Linked DNA regions of Ovis aries. The protein of the gene in region 3 interacts with the protein of the main gene of each other region in a pairwise test. Links are inferred from orthologs where the notes say so. Each region holds a gene or a part of one and is shown on either strand. Other genes may lie near its edges.

Region 1 (5,838 bases), on a different chromosome or scaffold from region 3:
AAAGGAATGCAGGCAGAAGTGACATACACCACTTCCAGCCTGGCATCTAAACCTCCCCCATACTCTCCTCCACGCTCTTAATCGTCTGTGACCAGACAGTGCTGTGGAGGGCAACATTAAGAAACCACATGTTGCCACAGGAGAAGCCTCCTTCAGCCTGCAGCCTTGGGGAACTGTGGGCTGCCGAGGACTCGCTACCTCCTTCTGCAACCTCAAACCATTCTGGCTAATCACGTAAGAGAGAAATAAACTTCTTACAGGTTTATGCCGTTATACACTTTGGGATGTATTATTACAGCATGTAGCCCATGCGTGACTGTTGTTAAAACATGGGCTATGAATCAAGGATAGTAAAACAAACAATCCAATGTTTTAAAGGACAAAAAACTTGAACAAATCCAGTAAAGAAATACGTATGTGTGTATTAGTCAGTCATGTCTGACTCTTTCTGATCCCATAAACTGTAGCCCACTAGACTCCTCTGTCCATGAATTCTCCAGGCAACAATACTGGAGTGGGTTGCCCTTTCTGCTTCCAGGGGATCTTCCTGACCCAGGGATCGAACCCAGGTCTCCTGCATTGCGGGCAGATTCTTTAGCATCTGAGCCACCAGGGAAGAAATATTGTATACCAGAGGTCAAATAGGCACATGAAAAGATGCATCACTGGTCATCAGAGCAAGGCAAATATCACTTCTTATTCACCAGAAAGGCTAAACTTAAAAGAATGACAATCCCAAAGGATGGCAGGATGTGGACCAATGTAACTCTCAAACACTGTTGACAGAAGTGTAAAATGGTAAACCACATCAGAAGAAGGCTTAGGAATTTCTCATAAGACATTCACTTGCCTTATCACTTACTCGGCAATTCTATTCACAGGCATTTTTTAAGAGAAATAAAAGTATATGTGCACAAAAAGACTTATATAAGACTGTTTATAGAAACTTAATTCATAACAGCCACACACTGGGAATAGTCCAGGTGCCCAACAACAGGATAAGGACACGGTGCTCTAATCAGACAATGGTGCTCTAATCAGCAGCAGTACTAGTACTCAGCAACACATGCAATGACAGGAACGAATCCTAAAACATTTTTAAAAAATCTTAAAACATATTTGCTGAATGAAAGCAGTGTTACAAAAAAGTTCCTAAATCAATGGTTAAAAAGCAAAATCATCAGTGGTTGCCTGGAGCAGAACTGCAGGAGAAGCAGGGAAAGATGGGAAATGGCATGAGGAAACATTCCAGGGTGATGAGAATCGTCTACATCTTGATAAAAGAACCAGATTCACAGGTGTTTATATTTATCAAAAAGCACAGATTGGTACACTTCATATTTGTATATTTTTGTATATAAATTTTGCCTTAAAAACATGAATTAAACAATGAATTCTGGTAATTTGCATCAAGTCTACTGATGTCTACAACATACCCTGAAGTGCCCCTCCAAAACACAGGTTAAGGGATGAATGAAGGGACAGACAGATATGGAATAACATGTTAAAAGAAATTTTTAAAAATGTGGTGGGTATATAGGCATATACTACACAATTTTTCTCACTTTTCTGAATGTTTAAAAATTTTCCAAAGAAAGCATTAGGAAATTACAAAGGGTATGGACAGATGCAAAATTCCTTTGGGAAGTGGGCAGTCTCCTATAAAAATACGCAGCTTTCACTCAGAGCAGCTCAAGTCAGGAGAAACAAGACACCAATGTGCCTGCCAATCAGGACAATGTAAACAGCGCACTGAGATGCATGGGCAGAGGAGACGGAAGTATTTCAACTAGGGGTCCCCAGATTATAGATACACTTTGCAGGCCAGCTGTTTCTCACATGGGTGACCATGTAGGGCAAGTCACCAGCAAGATCTTAATGATTTAACAACAGTTAATGATTCTCCCGAACAGTGACAAGGCAAGCTAGTCTCAACGGAGCCCTTCCAAAAAAATGAATTTTGTTTTATGCGAAACTCACTTGCCCATATTTTTTCCAATTCACCGAGGATTCATGAAAGCCTCCGTGTGAACCAAGATGCAGCAACCACTGGGCATACAGAGAGTCCTGGCTCTAGGAAGCAGAGTCTAATCTTCACTCTGCCACTGACTAGCCACTTGTCCTTGACTGATAAGATGCTAAGTCTCTCTGGTTCACTTTGCCTAAGAACTCATGAAAAGCCAAAACCCTAGTAGCACATAATAAGGAACAAAATGAGAAAAGAGATTTTCCAGGCCCTCTAAAGAGAATGGTAGCCTTCTCACAAACAGGGAACTACAAGGTAACCCATGAGCACTCAGCATTAATCCTAATTCATGAACACTAACCCGGTCTTAAGGAAGAGCACTAAATGGGTACCCTGTCACTACCTAGACGGGTGGCATGAGGTGGGAGGGAGGTTCAGGAGGGAAGGGACATATGCTTGCCTATGGCTGATTCATGGTGATGTATGGTAGAAACCAACACAATATCGTAAAGCAATTAACCTCCAATTAAAAATGAATTTTAAAAAGAAGAAAGAGCGAAGATGAGGAAAGCATGACTCTAGTCCTCTCTGCCATTAACCAGCCGCCATGGGAACCGGGCAAGTCCCGAAGACTCTCTAGGCCAATTTGACAAAAGAAGACTCAAAACAGAAGTGCTCCCATCCCACTCAACCTGCTCACAGATGCCCTTTAATGCTCTGCATCCTAGGGGTACAGGCCAGGAATGACTGGCCAACCACTACAGGGCTGAATTCCTACTCAGCTGTAAAGCTCTTGTTCAGATGTCACCTGCTTTGAGAAGCCTGCCAACCAGGTCAGTCACTCCCTTTACACTCAGCAGATAACCTATATCAGCGCCCTGGCCACGGTGGAAGGTAACCATCTATTCACCTGTCTTGTCTCCCAAACTTGACTTTGAGCTTTCGGCCTCACTGGAATTTGCTCCACTTGCCCCAGCGCTGTGCCTAGCACACGCTGGCACTCAAAGCATAGGTGTAAATAAATGCATTAATTAATCACTAAGGTCACTTTTAGCTCTAAAATGCTAGACGATGTTTTTAAGTGCAAAAGAAATCATGGGTATAAAAATTCTTTTATTTAGCTGTTTAATGCTGTATGTGCGCTTCCCTGGTGGCCCAGATGGTAAAGAATCTGCCTGCAACACGGGAGACCTGGGTTCCATCCCTGGGTCGGGAAGATCCCCTGGAGAAGGGAATGGCAACCCACTCCAGCATTCTTGCCTGGATAATTCCATGGACAGAGCAGTCTGTCTGTGGGCTACAGTTCATGGGGTTACAGAGAGTCGGACACGACTGAGCAACTAACACACAAACAATGCTTTATGTTCAGTGCTGGGGACATGGAGATGATAAAAGACGTTTCCTGCCCCCAAGACACCCCCCACCCCAAATACGAAAGCTGGTAGTTATTGTTTGAGCGAGGGCAAAGCTAGAGCCTGCTCCTGCTTCCCCGTCACTTCCTTTCTTGCAGCTGCAGCTCTCTGCCTCTTTCCCCATAAGCCTTCACTGCTGCCTCAAACTGCAACCTCTGTCCCAGCTGGCAAAGGCGCAAAACTGTAAGCCAACCACCCACGACCTGCAGCCTACCACAAATCCTGCAGGACCGCTGCCCCCGGGGCCCAGAACCCTCTCCCCTCCCGCCCGCGAATGTAACAGCCCAACCAGACGGAAAGGAAGCACACGCACACCCCTAGGCCCCCCGCGATCGATGGTACAGCCCTCCCTCCCCAGAACCTCCGCGCTGGGGCAGCAGGGGCCGTTACTTGAGGACACCCAGCTTCCTACGCGGACCGTAGGGCCGGCTCGGAGAGCGCAGGGTGTACCTGCGCGGCCCTCTGCTCCTTCCAATGTTTCATCTGGTCGCTGGCTGGATCCCGGTTGTCCGCCATGGTGTCTGAGCGGCGCTGCAGAACTTTGCAGGTGGGCTCGGCTCACGCGTCTCCAGCGCCGCAGCTGAAATAGGCGACTTCAGACTCCGCCACTCAGCTCCGCCCCCCCATCCCGCCCCCTCGGCAGGGCCGCCACCTGATTGGCCACTTGAGCTCCAGGCGGAATGGGATTGGAAGCCAAGTAGGGGCAGGGCTGAGGAGCAAGGACTCGGGGAGAGGAGAGGCTGGGGAGAGATAGGAAAAGGAACGGCGCCTCCTCACCTCCGACCCCCAAACTCCAGATTAACTAATTTGGGTTTGGCCCCCGCGTACCCGGATGTGACTGTCTCCTCGGCTTATCAGTATCCTTCAGGGTGCCCTGGGAGGTAGCGGTTGGTGGTCTGCCAGTTTTTTTGAGGGAATGCTTAGGCCCTGCTGGGTGGGGCTTTGAACTCTGGTAACATGCTCTCAGCTCTTAAAAAGCAGAGAAAAAGAAATCCACCGTTGAGTTCCTCTGTGCAAAATGAAGGTTTGTCATGCTCCAATGTTAATAATTTTGTTTACAACTGAAAGGATTGGTGGAATTTGGAATAAATGCAAATACTGGTTCTATATTTAAGTATGACCAGTGATCACACTCGCAAATGTCGCATAATTTTTCTTTGTCAAAGATTAGAGATGACATGTATACACTGCTATACAATGATATGTATACATTTAAAAATGGTTAGCCAACAAGGATCTGCTGTATAGCCCAGGGAACTCTGCTCAGTGTTATGTGGCAGCCTAGATGGGCCTGTAATCTGGGGGAAAATGGATAGGTGTGTATGTATGGCTGAATCTCTTTGCTGTCCACCTTAAACTATCACAACAATGTTGGTTGGCTATACTCCTGTATAAAATAAAAAGCTTTTAAAAATAAAAGTAAAAAGCACAGAAAAGTGAAATATTTGCAAGATCTAAATCTTAATAGTCTAAAATACGTAGGACAAAAACTCAGTCCTTTAGATTCCCTTTTTGGTTTAGAAGTTCCCCTTTTTGAGTGTCTGCTATGTGCTGGACACTGCTGATGGTTGCCAAACTCTACCACTTAATCTTCACAACAAAAAAAAATATAAAGGTCAGTGAAGTCTCCCCACCATGACAGACTATAAACAAGCATGAAGAGGTTGGCTTGCTCCTGATGTAGAATAATTAACTAAGTTAAATAAGATGTCCAAACCCACTATTTATTAACAGAAATGCTGCCTTAGAGTTTAGGAAATGTCTTCCCTAAGTCAATGTGACTAATTTTTGAGGTGTTTGAGCAATGCATTTTAATAAGTGAAATAACAATGTATTTTGTGATATTCCAGAAGAAAATTGCTCGAGTTCAACAGTGCAAAAATGGCTTATTCTATGAAAATATCTTCAATTGGTGTCTTACTCTTGTCAAGACGTTTAAATTAGGTAAAGTGTGAAAAGAGACTTGGTTATACCCAGCTAGAGAGATTGTTTACAAAGTCTGAGACTTGGCATAATAAAGCTGGGGGAAAATGGTCCTCCCAGACCTCAATAGAGATCTGTACTCCTACTACTTCTCATCCTGAGGCCACGTTATTGCTCTTTTCTTCCACTGTGTGAACCTCCCACTCATAGGGCATCACACTTCCCTTCCCCTAGTCGTTTCCATCCTCTTCTGGTCAGGAGTTGCCTTATTCCAAATAGGCTGCCATTCTTTTCTTTTACTGTGGGTTCATATCACTTTTTATACTTGAGCTTGAACTCCGGGAGATAGTGATGGACAGGGAGGCCTGGCATGCTGCGATTCATGGGGTCACAGAGTCGGACACGACTGAGCAACTGAACTGAACTGAACTGAACTGAACTTGGCCTTGGAAATGTTCACATACTCTTGGGAGTCTAGTTCAGTCACATTTGTATAAAAAAAGGATTTTTGTGGTTAGAACTGGTAATCTAACCACT
Region 2 (5,591 bases), on a different chromosome or scaffold from region 3:
GCCCCCGGAGCTGCCCAGTCAGGGCAGGGGCAGAAGCACAGGGTCATGTGGGAGAAGGTCCCGGGGCTGGGGGACACTGGGTGGTGCCCCAAGTGGAAGGGTAGATGTGACTGAGGAGCGGGTGCCGGGGAGGCTTTCCCAGCCCCACTCAGTCCCTCTCCCTTCAGTGGCTCCTTTGTGATCCCCACACTTGCACCTGCCACAGGGCCTTTGCACAGGCTAAGCTCTAGCCCAGGGAACTTCCCCATCCTCTCTGTAACTCCTCCTCCTCCTTACACTCTTGGAGCATAAGGACCATTTCCTCTAGGAAGCCTCTTCTGACATATGCCCCTCCGTGGCCCTCAGGTAGAACCCACTCTGGTGGGTCAGGGTGCCACCCTTCATTGCAGTTCAGTTCTCACTCTTCCTTACTTGTGGGATCATTCCAGTGTTTGGAGAAGGAAATGGCAACCCACTCCAGTATTCTTGCCTGGAGAATCCCATGAACGGAGGAGCTTGGTGGGCTACAGTCCACGGGTCGCAAAGAGTCGGACACGACTGAGAGACTTCACTTTCACTTTCACTTCCAGTATCTGGCTCCACCCACTTGGCTGTAAGCTCCAGGAGGCCAAGGCAAGCCCTCCTGTTTTCCCGATGTTCTTGGAACCCAGTGCGGCCACCAGGCCTAGCACCCAGCAGGGGCTCCTTTAATTCTCTGGTTCGGTGGGTGGGAGTCTGGAAGGATGGACGCAGGGAGTATAAGGGGAAGAGGGTGTTCCAGGGGTGGGGAACACTAGTTCTGGGCGTTGTTTAACTCGCGGGGGAGGTCTGAGGGGCGTGCACCCGGTGGAAGGGACGAGTGGGTACTTGCGGAGTGGAGAAGGCCCCAGTGCGTGGGCGCGCGTTCCTTGGGCTGCAGCCGGCAGAGGGCGCTACCGGCTCGCCGGACACAGCGCTCCGGCCCCGGCGGCGGCGCCACGGAGTGGAGGAGGGGGGATTCTTCTGGAGGGCGGGCAGGGGGAGACTTTCGGAATGGGGGCAGCCCCCAGGGATGCACCCCCGAAGCCAGACCCCCAAAACCCCGCGCCTGCCAGGCAGCCCCCTCCGTGGCCGGGCCGGGGTCTAGCTCCCCAGCCCCGCGGCCCACTGCCGGCAGCCCCCTGCCGCCGCGCCCGGCCGCCGGGGGCGGGGGCGGTGGCCCACGGGGCACGTGGCTCCGGGTCCGGGCGGGGCGGCGCCCACCCCCTCCCGTCCCCCAGCGCCGGCCCGTCCCCGCGTGGCCGCGGCCGCGGGGGCAGAGGGAGGGAGGGCGGGGCGCGGGCGGCGGCGGCGGGCGGCGCCGGGGAGGGGGTCGCGCGGGGGCGGGCCGCGGGCCGGGCGGGGGTCGGCGGGCTTCCGGGCGGCGGCGGCGGCGGGCGCGGCGCGATGTGCGAGCGGGCGGCGCGCCTGTGCAGGGCCGGCGCGCACAGGCTGCTCCGGGAGCCGCCGCCGCAGGGCCGGGCGCTGGGCGGGCTGCTGCGCTGGGTGGGCGCCAGGATGGGCGAGCCCCGGGCGCCGCTGGCCCCCGACGCCCCCAACACCCCCGTCGCGGACCCCGGCCCCTACCCGGGCCCCGCCTCGCCGCGCGGGGGCACCGCCGTCATCCTGGACGTGAGTACGCGCGGGCCGGGACCCGTTCTCCCCACCGGGCGACGCGGACGCCACGCTCCCGGGACCCCGCTGGGACCTGCAAGACCCCCTTCTGCTTGAGGGGCAGGGGTCCCCGGGCAGGGACGCTGGCCCGCACCCCGGGGGTCCAGAGCGGGATCCACCGGCTCCTCCTTGTGCAGAGCGCGGCCCCCAGCTCTTCGGCCCCCGGGCCGGTCTCCGTGCGGGTCCCGTCTCGTCCCCGGACCGGGACGACCCCTTTACCTCCCTCCCCTTCTCGGGATCTCCACATTCTCGGAGCCGGGACCCTGGAGCCCCTCGACCCGGCCACCGCCCCCTACTTCTGTCCTGGCCAAACCCTCATCTTTCTCCAGCCCGCGCTTCATCCTTCACCCAGCTCCTTCCCGGGACGCGAGTCCCAGACCGCCGTCGGCCCCTGCTCCTGCCCGCCCCACCGACCCCTGCCCCCCGTCCTTACTTTTCTAAGACTCTCCCCCCAACCCACCCCATCACACACACAATCCCTGGGTCCAGGGCCATTTTTCTTGTCCGAGCTTTGGACCTTAAGCCCTTGTATCCTCAACCCTTTTGCCTCAGGCACCACCTTTTTAAAAGCAAAGCCCCCTCCCCACCTGCCTTCCTCTCTCCTTTCAGTAGGACTGGAGCCATCCCCCATCCTCTCTGAGGACCACCACTCCATTCTGAGCCAGTCCTTGATCCCCTTCCCCCGCTCCCCCCTCCCTCTCCCTCTCCTCACCCCTCCCTCTCCCTTTCCTCACCCCTCCCCCTGCTCACCCCCTCCCCTTTTCACCCTCTCTCCTCCTCACCCCCACTCCGCACCCCTCCCCCACGTCCTCTGGAGCCCAAACCGCCCCACCTCACCCTCCCACCCACTCTCCTCTGTAGGAGGGAGCCTTCTGCAGGGTGGGGGGGCGTCCCCCGTGGGGTGCTCTGCCCACCCCAAGGGGCAGCATGGCAGTGGGGTGTGCCTGTCCTAGGGAGGGTCCTCCGAGGTGGGTGACACGGGGCTGGGGGTGCCATGTTTATGTATGGTGGGTGGGTTTCAGGGAGAGGTGTGTGTATCACATCCTGGTGAGAGGGGGACAGTGTGGGTTTCCTCTCGCCCCTCCACCCCCACCACGTTCCTGTTGGAGCCTCCATCGCTGGCTCTCAGCCGACAGGGCAGGGGGTGATCTGCCGCACGTGGCCATGGCTCCCAGGCTTCCCAGAACGTGCTCACACACAGCCCACTCGCACCTGCACAGGTGAGCCCTCTCAAAGCCCCAGTGAGTTCGCAGCTGAAAGCCCTTGCAGCGGACAGCTCTGTCCAGGCCCCCCCCCTTTTGCACAGGACAGGACGTGGACTCTGGAGTCCTCACGCCACGCTGCTGGCTCTGAGCCCCAGTCTCCTCATCTGTGAAATGGGGGTGATGAGCGAGTGCCAGGGCCACATCTCCTGTCAGGTCAGTCACTTTAACGCTCACCCCCGGCCCCGGCACCTGAAGGTGGGACTCCAGCCTCCTCGGGAACCTTGCAGTCAGGAGCAGGCAGTGTGCGGTGCACAAGCTGGGGTGCTGGCAGCTGCCCCCTTTTCTGCCCCAGCTGCTCCAGACCTGTGTCCCCTGCCCCAACTTGGGGTTCAGCTCAAGAAAGGGGGAATGTTTGAGAATATCTTTCCTGAGCTGCTGCTTCAGTTTGTCACAGCCCGGGTGCCTGACAATGGATGCCTGCCCTACTGCTTGGAGGGAGGGGCCCAGCTCCCGCTCTCCAAGGTGTGAGGGTCACACGCTGGGGGCGGCGTCTCCCCCTCTTCCTACCTTCAGCAAGGCTTGCGTGCACGCGTGCTAAGTCACTCAGAAGGGTCCGACTCTGCGACCCCATGGACTGTAGCCTGCCAGACTCCTTTGTCCATGGAATTCTCCAGGCCAGATACTGGAGTGGGTAGCCTTTCCCTTCTCCAGGGGATCTTCCTGACCCAAGGATCGAACCCAGGTCTCGCACATTGCAGGTGGATTCTTTACCATCTGAGCCACCAGGGCAGCCCCCAGCAAGGCTTACTAGGACTAAAAACACCAGGAGGAGCTATCTGGTTTCAGCTGCAGCTGGAGGGGACCAGGCTGCCCCTTCCCTCCCCGCCTCTCTTTCTGAGCTGCTTGCGGGCTGCTCCTACCCACTGACCACCCCCAAAAAACTAATCCCGCCGTGCACTGGCTGATCCTGTCGTCAGGCCTCGAGGTTTGCTTGGCAGATGCCTCTGTTCAGATTTAACCCACCCTCCCTGGAGAACACCAGGCCCTCGAGAGGTCCTAGTGGGGGTGTAAGGTGAGTGGCTGCCTCCCACGGACGGGAGTGGGGAGCACGCAGCCGCCTGTGGGTGCTGCACGTGGGCCAAAGGTTCTGGACACACACCCGTGCGGCGTGCTCTCGACCGCATGGCCAGCAGCGCCTGAGGAAGAGGGGAGGCTGTCTCCTCGAGGGGAGCTGGAGGGCCACTGCCTGAAACACCCTTCCACCCCCGGGTCTCCTCCCTCAGGAGGGAAAAGGGGCCCGGCTTCCGCAGGTCCACTGGGCTGGGGGTGTTGGAAGCCTGCCCCTCCCAGCCGACACTGACTCGACCTCTCTTCTCTGCAGATTTTCCGCCGTGCGGACAAAAACGGTGAGTCTTCCCACACCCCGCGAGGCTGTCCCCGTGTGAGGACCTGGCTCTTTCTGGTTGGGGGTGCAGGACGCTGCCCTGCGCCTGTTTCTCCATCCTACGAGGGACCCCTGTGGTTCCTACTGAGCAGGGGAGCCATGCGGCTTCAGCGGGCAGGTGTGGGCAGTGCGGTGAGTTATGCGTGCAGTCAGCGCTTCGTGCACTTCCACCACCTACAGCTGGGCCAGGCCAAAGCCGCCCTGGGGGCCGCCCAGGAAGCCCCCAGCCTCACCTCGGGCCCCGGCACACTTTTTCCTCAGACGTCCATGCTGTCGCCCCTGTTCTGTCAGCTCCATGGTGGCCCAGAGAGGTTCTGTGTCTTACCTGGGGTCACCCAGCTGCAGGAAGGCAGTCCAGCCTCTGTTGCAGACCCCTGGCTCTCCCTCCACCCCCCCCACTGCCGTCCCCCCAAAGAGACTTCCCACACAAAGTGAGAATCGTGTTGCGGTCCATGAATTCAGGACACCCGCTGGAGACTGCTCCACCCCGGCCTTTCTGGAAGGCAGGGGCCCCCTGAGCCTCACGGTGGCCGCCGGGAGTGATTGTCTACATACTGGAATCGTCATTCATGGGTTGAAGCAGCTCTCCGTGGTCTTGAACCAGGACATAGTCCCGCTTCAGGCCTCAGTTTTGCCATCTCTAAAGTGGGGTGATAACACTTAACCTGTCTACATTCCAGGGCTGTTGGGAAAATGAAGGGAGGAGACATGGCTGGTGAGCTTTGTGAGAGAGAAGCAGGCAGAGTTCAGTGTTAATTCCTTGAGAAAATACTGATTTAATTTGAGTATCCAGGCCCCTGCCGAGGGAGGAATGGGCACAGCTGACCTGGCACCTGGTCCCAGGCCCACAGCCCCCTCCCTGCTGACCCCAGGAGTCACTGTCTGGCTGTCCCCGCCTGGCACTGAGGGGAGAACATGAGACGGCCTGGCCGCCAGTGCCCGGGGCTTCTCCATCTCTCGCCTCCCCCATTCTCAGGTGTGGCGGGGCCCCCTCCGGGCCTCTGGAAGGCAGCAGCAGCATCAGGAGCAGTTCCATACGGAGCATCGAGGAAGGGCAGGGACACGGTGGGGGGACTTCACCGGCAGCTGAGAAGTCGTGACGGTGCAGCCTGAGTGGCCTTAGAGACTAGAGAAGTGGGTCCTGGGGTCTGATCCCCGTGCAGGCCTCTCGGAACCTTCTAGTGTGTGGCCGGCCAGGGGCCACGTGGCCATTGCCGTGTGCTGGCCACGCCCCTCAGCCTGTGGTGAGGTGTCACACTGAGGGATTCGGG
Region 3 (4,332 bases):
CCTGAATATTCATTGGAAGGACTGTTGCTGAAGCTCCAATACTTCGGCCACCTGATGCAAAGAGCCAACTCATTGGAAAAGACCCTGATGCTGGGAAAGATTGAGGGCAGGAGGAGAAGAGGGTGGCAGAGGATTAGATGGTTGGAAGGCATCACCAACTCAATGGACATGAATCTGAGCAAACTCCAGGGGACGGTGGAGGACAGAGAAGCCTGGTGTATTACAGGCTGTAGGGTCACAAAGAGTGGCAGAGACTGAACAACAGTGCTGTGGAGTATGATTTGTAGGCACATTTCTGTAACATCATTAATTAAGGGAGTTAGGACCTCTCACTCTCTTTCTTGCAAGCACACCTATTTCTGCTGGAAATGAATAAGCAGATAGAAATTATAGCTGCACAATGGCTTTTCTGATTTAAGGAATATCATTAGTCTTATCTTCAAAGCTGGAGTATTATGGCAAAGCTTCAAGGGTACTTGTAATATGTAGTTCTTGTCAGAGTCAATTACTATTAGAACACATTTTTAAAATGTCATTCAGAAGGTGATTTTTTTGAAAGATAGTTTACAAATTTTTTAATAACAACAAAATAAGCCTTTAAGCAAGTGCATTTTCAATAATTGGATAGTATATCCTGGAAAGGTTTCTTCATATTAACCACTGCTGTGTGTAGAACCCAATAGTTTGAATCAATTTTGCCTCCTTTGATACAAAATAAGGATAAATAAACTCATATTTCTTCTTCCCATGATACATATAAAATGTTGGCCCTTAACATTTATTGAGTCACAGACACTTCAGAGAATATGATATAAGATAAGATATGGTACCTTTTCTAAGAAATACAGTCGGATACATACACACAAATATTAGCATAAAGTTTCAGGGATTATGGACTCATAAAAATCTATTTATAGACACTCTAGTGTCAAAACCCTGATCTAGAGGAGAATGTAGGAGGAAAAGAAGTTTTAAGAACTCAAAAAAAAAAAAGAAAAAAGAGCTCAAAATTGAAATCTATGCAAGGTCTAAAGAAGAAAAAGTTATGTGTTTATTAATTTGAAACTAAGTTACTTTGCAGAGTTACTATTTTCAGGAATTTTTTCTATTTTTCTCTTTAATCATATAAACAACAATATATATCTCAAAAATTATTCTAAATTGAACTACAATTCAAAGCACATTAAAAGTTTTTTTTATTTGTTTTTGGTTTACTTTTTACAATGAAAACTTGTACTATATTCATTCAAGATTTCTCTGTTAGAACTTTTGGTAATTTTGCTTGGGTTCCTTGGCAAAAACATTGTAAAAACCAATTCATTCACATCACCCTGAAGGACAATAACCTAAGCCTATTTGTTTCCTTATATGACAAAGGATTGCTGGATTAATGCCCCTCCAGATTCTTGATCTGCCAAGTGCTGTGCAAGATGTTCACGGGTGCACAGAGTATCTGTTGAATGAAGGGTCCACAAGACTTCCTAAGTAAGTAAACAAGTTGCTTACTTGTTTATTAACTTGATTAAGATATAATTCACATACCATACAGTTCATACATTTAGGGTATACAACTCAATGGTTTTAAGTAGATTTACAGAGTTATACAACCATCGAAACAACAATTTCAGAACATTTTCATTAACCCAGAAAGAAACTCTGTACCCATCAGCAGCCACACCCTGCTCCCTACCCTCAATCATTCAGCCTTTGGCAAACTGTAATCTGCTTTCTATCTCAATAGATTTGCCTATGTTTTCACTTAGCATAATATTTTCAAGATTCATCATGTTGTAGTATTAGCACTTCTCTTCTTTTTATGACTAAATAATATCCTACTGTATGGCCAGTTTACGTTTTATTTAGGCATTCATCAGTTGATGGACACTTGGATTGTTTCCAATTTGGGGCTGTTACGAATAGTTCTGCTCTAAACATTTGTGTACAAGTTATTGGGTTGACTAGCCCCTCAGCTTTTAACCAAACAAGGCAAAAAGTAAAAAGAGAAGAATTCTTATAACAAAATTACACAAAATTTGTTTTTCAATAATTTTAGACTTGTCAGGATTCAACCATTTCATACTCAACATCACAAAGGCTTCCTATGACCGGGAAACTGGTATTATTAGTTTATCACAGAATTAGAGGAGGTTAGACCCCTGAGATTCCCACCTTACACTAAGTTAACAAGTTAACAATTGTAATTTGTTGTTGTTGTTCATCACTCAGTTATGTCCTGTTCTGCAACCTCAAGGACTGCAGCACTCCAAGCTTCCCTGTCCTTCACAATCTCCCAGAGTTCACTTTCCATTACTGCTGCTTGAATAGAAGGGTAAATAAAGACATCTAGTGGTCTTGAGGAAATTGTCATCAGACATTACTGAGCCTCTTACAAGCAGCAAGGACAACTGTACACACGGGCCTTGGACAGAAATGATAATATTGAGTGTGACTTTTTAAGCTCCTTTGACTCCCCATTCTGGTCTGAAGTATGTGGTTTCCTCACTAACTCCCAACTGTGTTTTGCTTAAGTTTCAACACCCTTCTGCCATTGAAACTTTGCCCCTGGCCTCCCCCTGGGCAGCTTTCCAAGTTCACACGTACAGACCCCTACTGCGGACCCTACCCTGCCAACTGTCTCCACTCTACCTCTGAGACTCTGAACTGAAGCCTTTATCACAGGCTTCCTTGCTGGATAAATGCCCCTCCAGGTTTTAGGTCTGTTAAGTGTTGTGTAAGATGCTTAGTGGTGAACAATGAGGATCTATTGATGGAGGGTCCATAATATTTCCTATCACTGCCACGTGTGTGAGGATGAAAGACTCAACATGAATTTATGCATTTATCAATTAATAATTGATGACATATTTCTCAAATGATCAAGGAACTGGGAACCTCAACTTATTCCTGAGCCTCTCTCCTTAGTTATTACAATGTTAACACAAGTTGATTCAGTGCAATTGAAATCATTTATCTGATACAGACAGATCGCTGGCATAAGAAGCACATTCCTGAAGATTTGACCCATTAGAATCATCAGACAGAAGATCCAAAGAGGGGTTTTAGCCAACTGATTATTCCTTTCATTTTGTATTTCAGAGCAATCTTACTTTGGATCTCTTTGGATTAGTTTCTATGAAATTCAGTGAGCGTTGCCTGATGCCAGCAGGTAAGGCAAAACCTGAAAGGCTGAATCACAGTTTACTTCTGGGGGGTCCTGCCAAGCTTTGCCACTGTTCCAGAGGAAGGTTTCCCTGGGAAGCCAGTTTTTTAAGATAGTCGCAAGGCTCCAGTTGGGGAATATCAGGATTCTGCCTGTGGTATTTCTGCAACTTCTCTAGTACCATGGGCAACCCAACTGTGGAAGCGTAGAACATGGGCCCACCCTTGTGCCTTGGCCATCCATACCCGTGTAAATAGATAACATCAATGTGCTCTGGGGTAGCTGCCATCCCTTCTTCCAAGATGCGAAATGCCTCATTGATGAGTGAATATAGGCAGCGCTCAAGGATCTCATCCCGGCTAATGATACGTGGTTTGATGTGATATGTTTCCCTGTACTGTGCCAGAAATTGGGAAAGCCAGGGATCAGGTTTGTGAATCCTTCCCAGAGGCTTATCATAAAGGTACCAACCCTTACCTGTCTTCTGACCAAACCGTCCTGACTCACACAGCATATCAGGAATTGGGCAATATCTCCGGCCACCTCGCTTCCGGGCAGAACTTCCTGGAGGCAATGTAGGTCCAGTAAGACCTTGCCCTTTGCGGGATTTCCAACCTATATCCAACCCAGCAAGATCAGACACTCTAAAAGGTCCCATTTTAAAACCAAACTCTTCCAGCACCTCATCTATCTCCTCTGGTTTACTGCCTTCTTCTAATAAGAAGTATGTCTGATCATAATAAGACCTCAGCATTCGATTCCCAACAAATCCAAAACAATTGCCTACAACTACTCCAATCTTCTTAATCTTTTTTGATAAATTCATAACCGTGGCAACGGTGGTGGGGGAAGAGAATCGGCTGGGAATAACCTCTAACAACTTCATGACATGAGCTGGTGAGAAGAAGTGGGTGCCAATGACCAAGTGAGGACGGTTACTGGAAGAAGCAATCTCATCAATGTCCAGGGCTGAAGTGTTGGTGCATAAAAATGCTTCTGGCTTGCATATAGCTGATAGTTCAGCAAAGACACGCTTCTTCAGGTTCATTTCCTCATATACTGCTTCAATGACTAAATCTACACCACTGAGCTCTTTCATAGATGTAGTTAACCTGGGTTTTGGTCCTGACCAAGGGTGGCCACTCTGCTGCATTTTGGATGCTTCCTTTTCC

Evidence for each region. The genes of interacting proteins can lie anywhere in the genome.
Region 1: the proteins of EHHADH (region 3) and CAT interact in a two-hybrid assay, tested with the Homo sapiens proteins (2 studies listed by BioGRID, with this or other methods). The link is inferred for Ovis aries from reciprocal best matches to the Homo sapiens genes EHHADH and CAT.
Region 2: the proteins of EHHADH (region 3) and NECAB2 interact in binary tests that used the Homo sapiens proteins (3 or more experiments, as listed by UniProt). The two-hybrid records come from large-scale screens. The link is inferred for Ovis aries from reciprocal best matches to the Homo sapiens genes EHHADH and NECAB2.

What each region holds. Positions count from the first base shown.
Region 1 is NC_056068.1:63,785,993-63,791,830, reverse strand, and holds the start of CAT (catalase), read right to left. Parts: upstream 3,939-5,838; 5' UTR 3,895-3,938; coding exon 3,829-3,894; exon of another isoform or gene 1-3,828. UniProt on the Homo sapiens protein: Catalyzes the degradation of hydrogen peroxide (H(2)O(2)) generated by peroxisomal oxidases to water and oxygen, thereby protecting cells from the toxic effects of hydrogen peroxide.
Region 2 is NC_056067.1:9,830,145-9,835,735, forward strand, and holds the start of NECAB2 (N-terminal EF-hand calcium-binding protein 2), read left to right. Parts: upstream 1-1,653; 5' UTR 1,654-2,598; coding exon 2,599-2,891; intron 2,892-2,971; exon of another isoform or gene 2,972-2,977; coding exon 2,978-3,089; exon of another isoform or gene 3,090-3,874; coding exon of another isoform or gene 3,875-3,948; intron 3,949-4,257; coding exon 4,258-4,282; intron 4,283-5,591. UniProt on the Homo sapiens protein: May act as a signaling scaffold protein that senses intracellular calcium.
Region 3 is NC_056054.1:202,720,148-202,724,479, reverse strand, and holds the end of EHHADH (peroxisomal bifunctional enzyme), read right to left. Parts: coding exon 3,192-4,332; 3' UTR 1,487-3,191; downstream 1-1,486. UniProt on the Homo sapiens protein: Peroxisomal trifunctional enzyme possessing 2-enoyl-CoA hydratase, 3-hydroxyacyl-CoA dehydrogenase, and delta 3, delta 2-enoyl-CoA isomerase activities. Catalyzes two of the four reactions of the long chain fatty acids peroxisomal beta-oxidation pathway.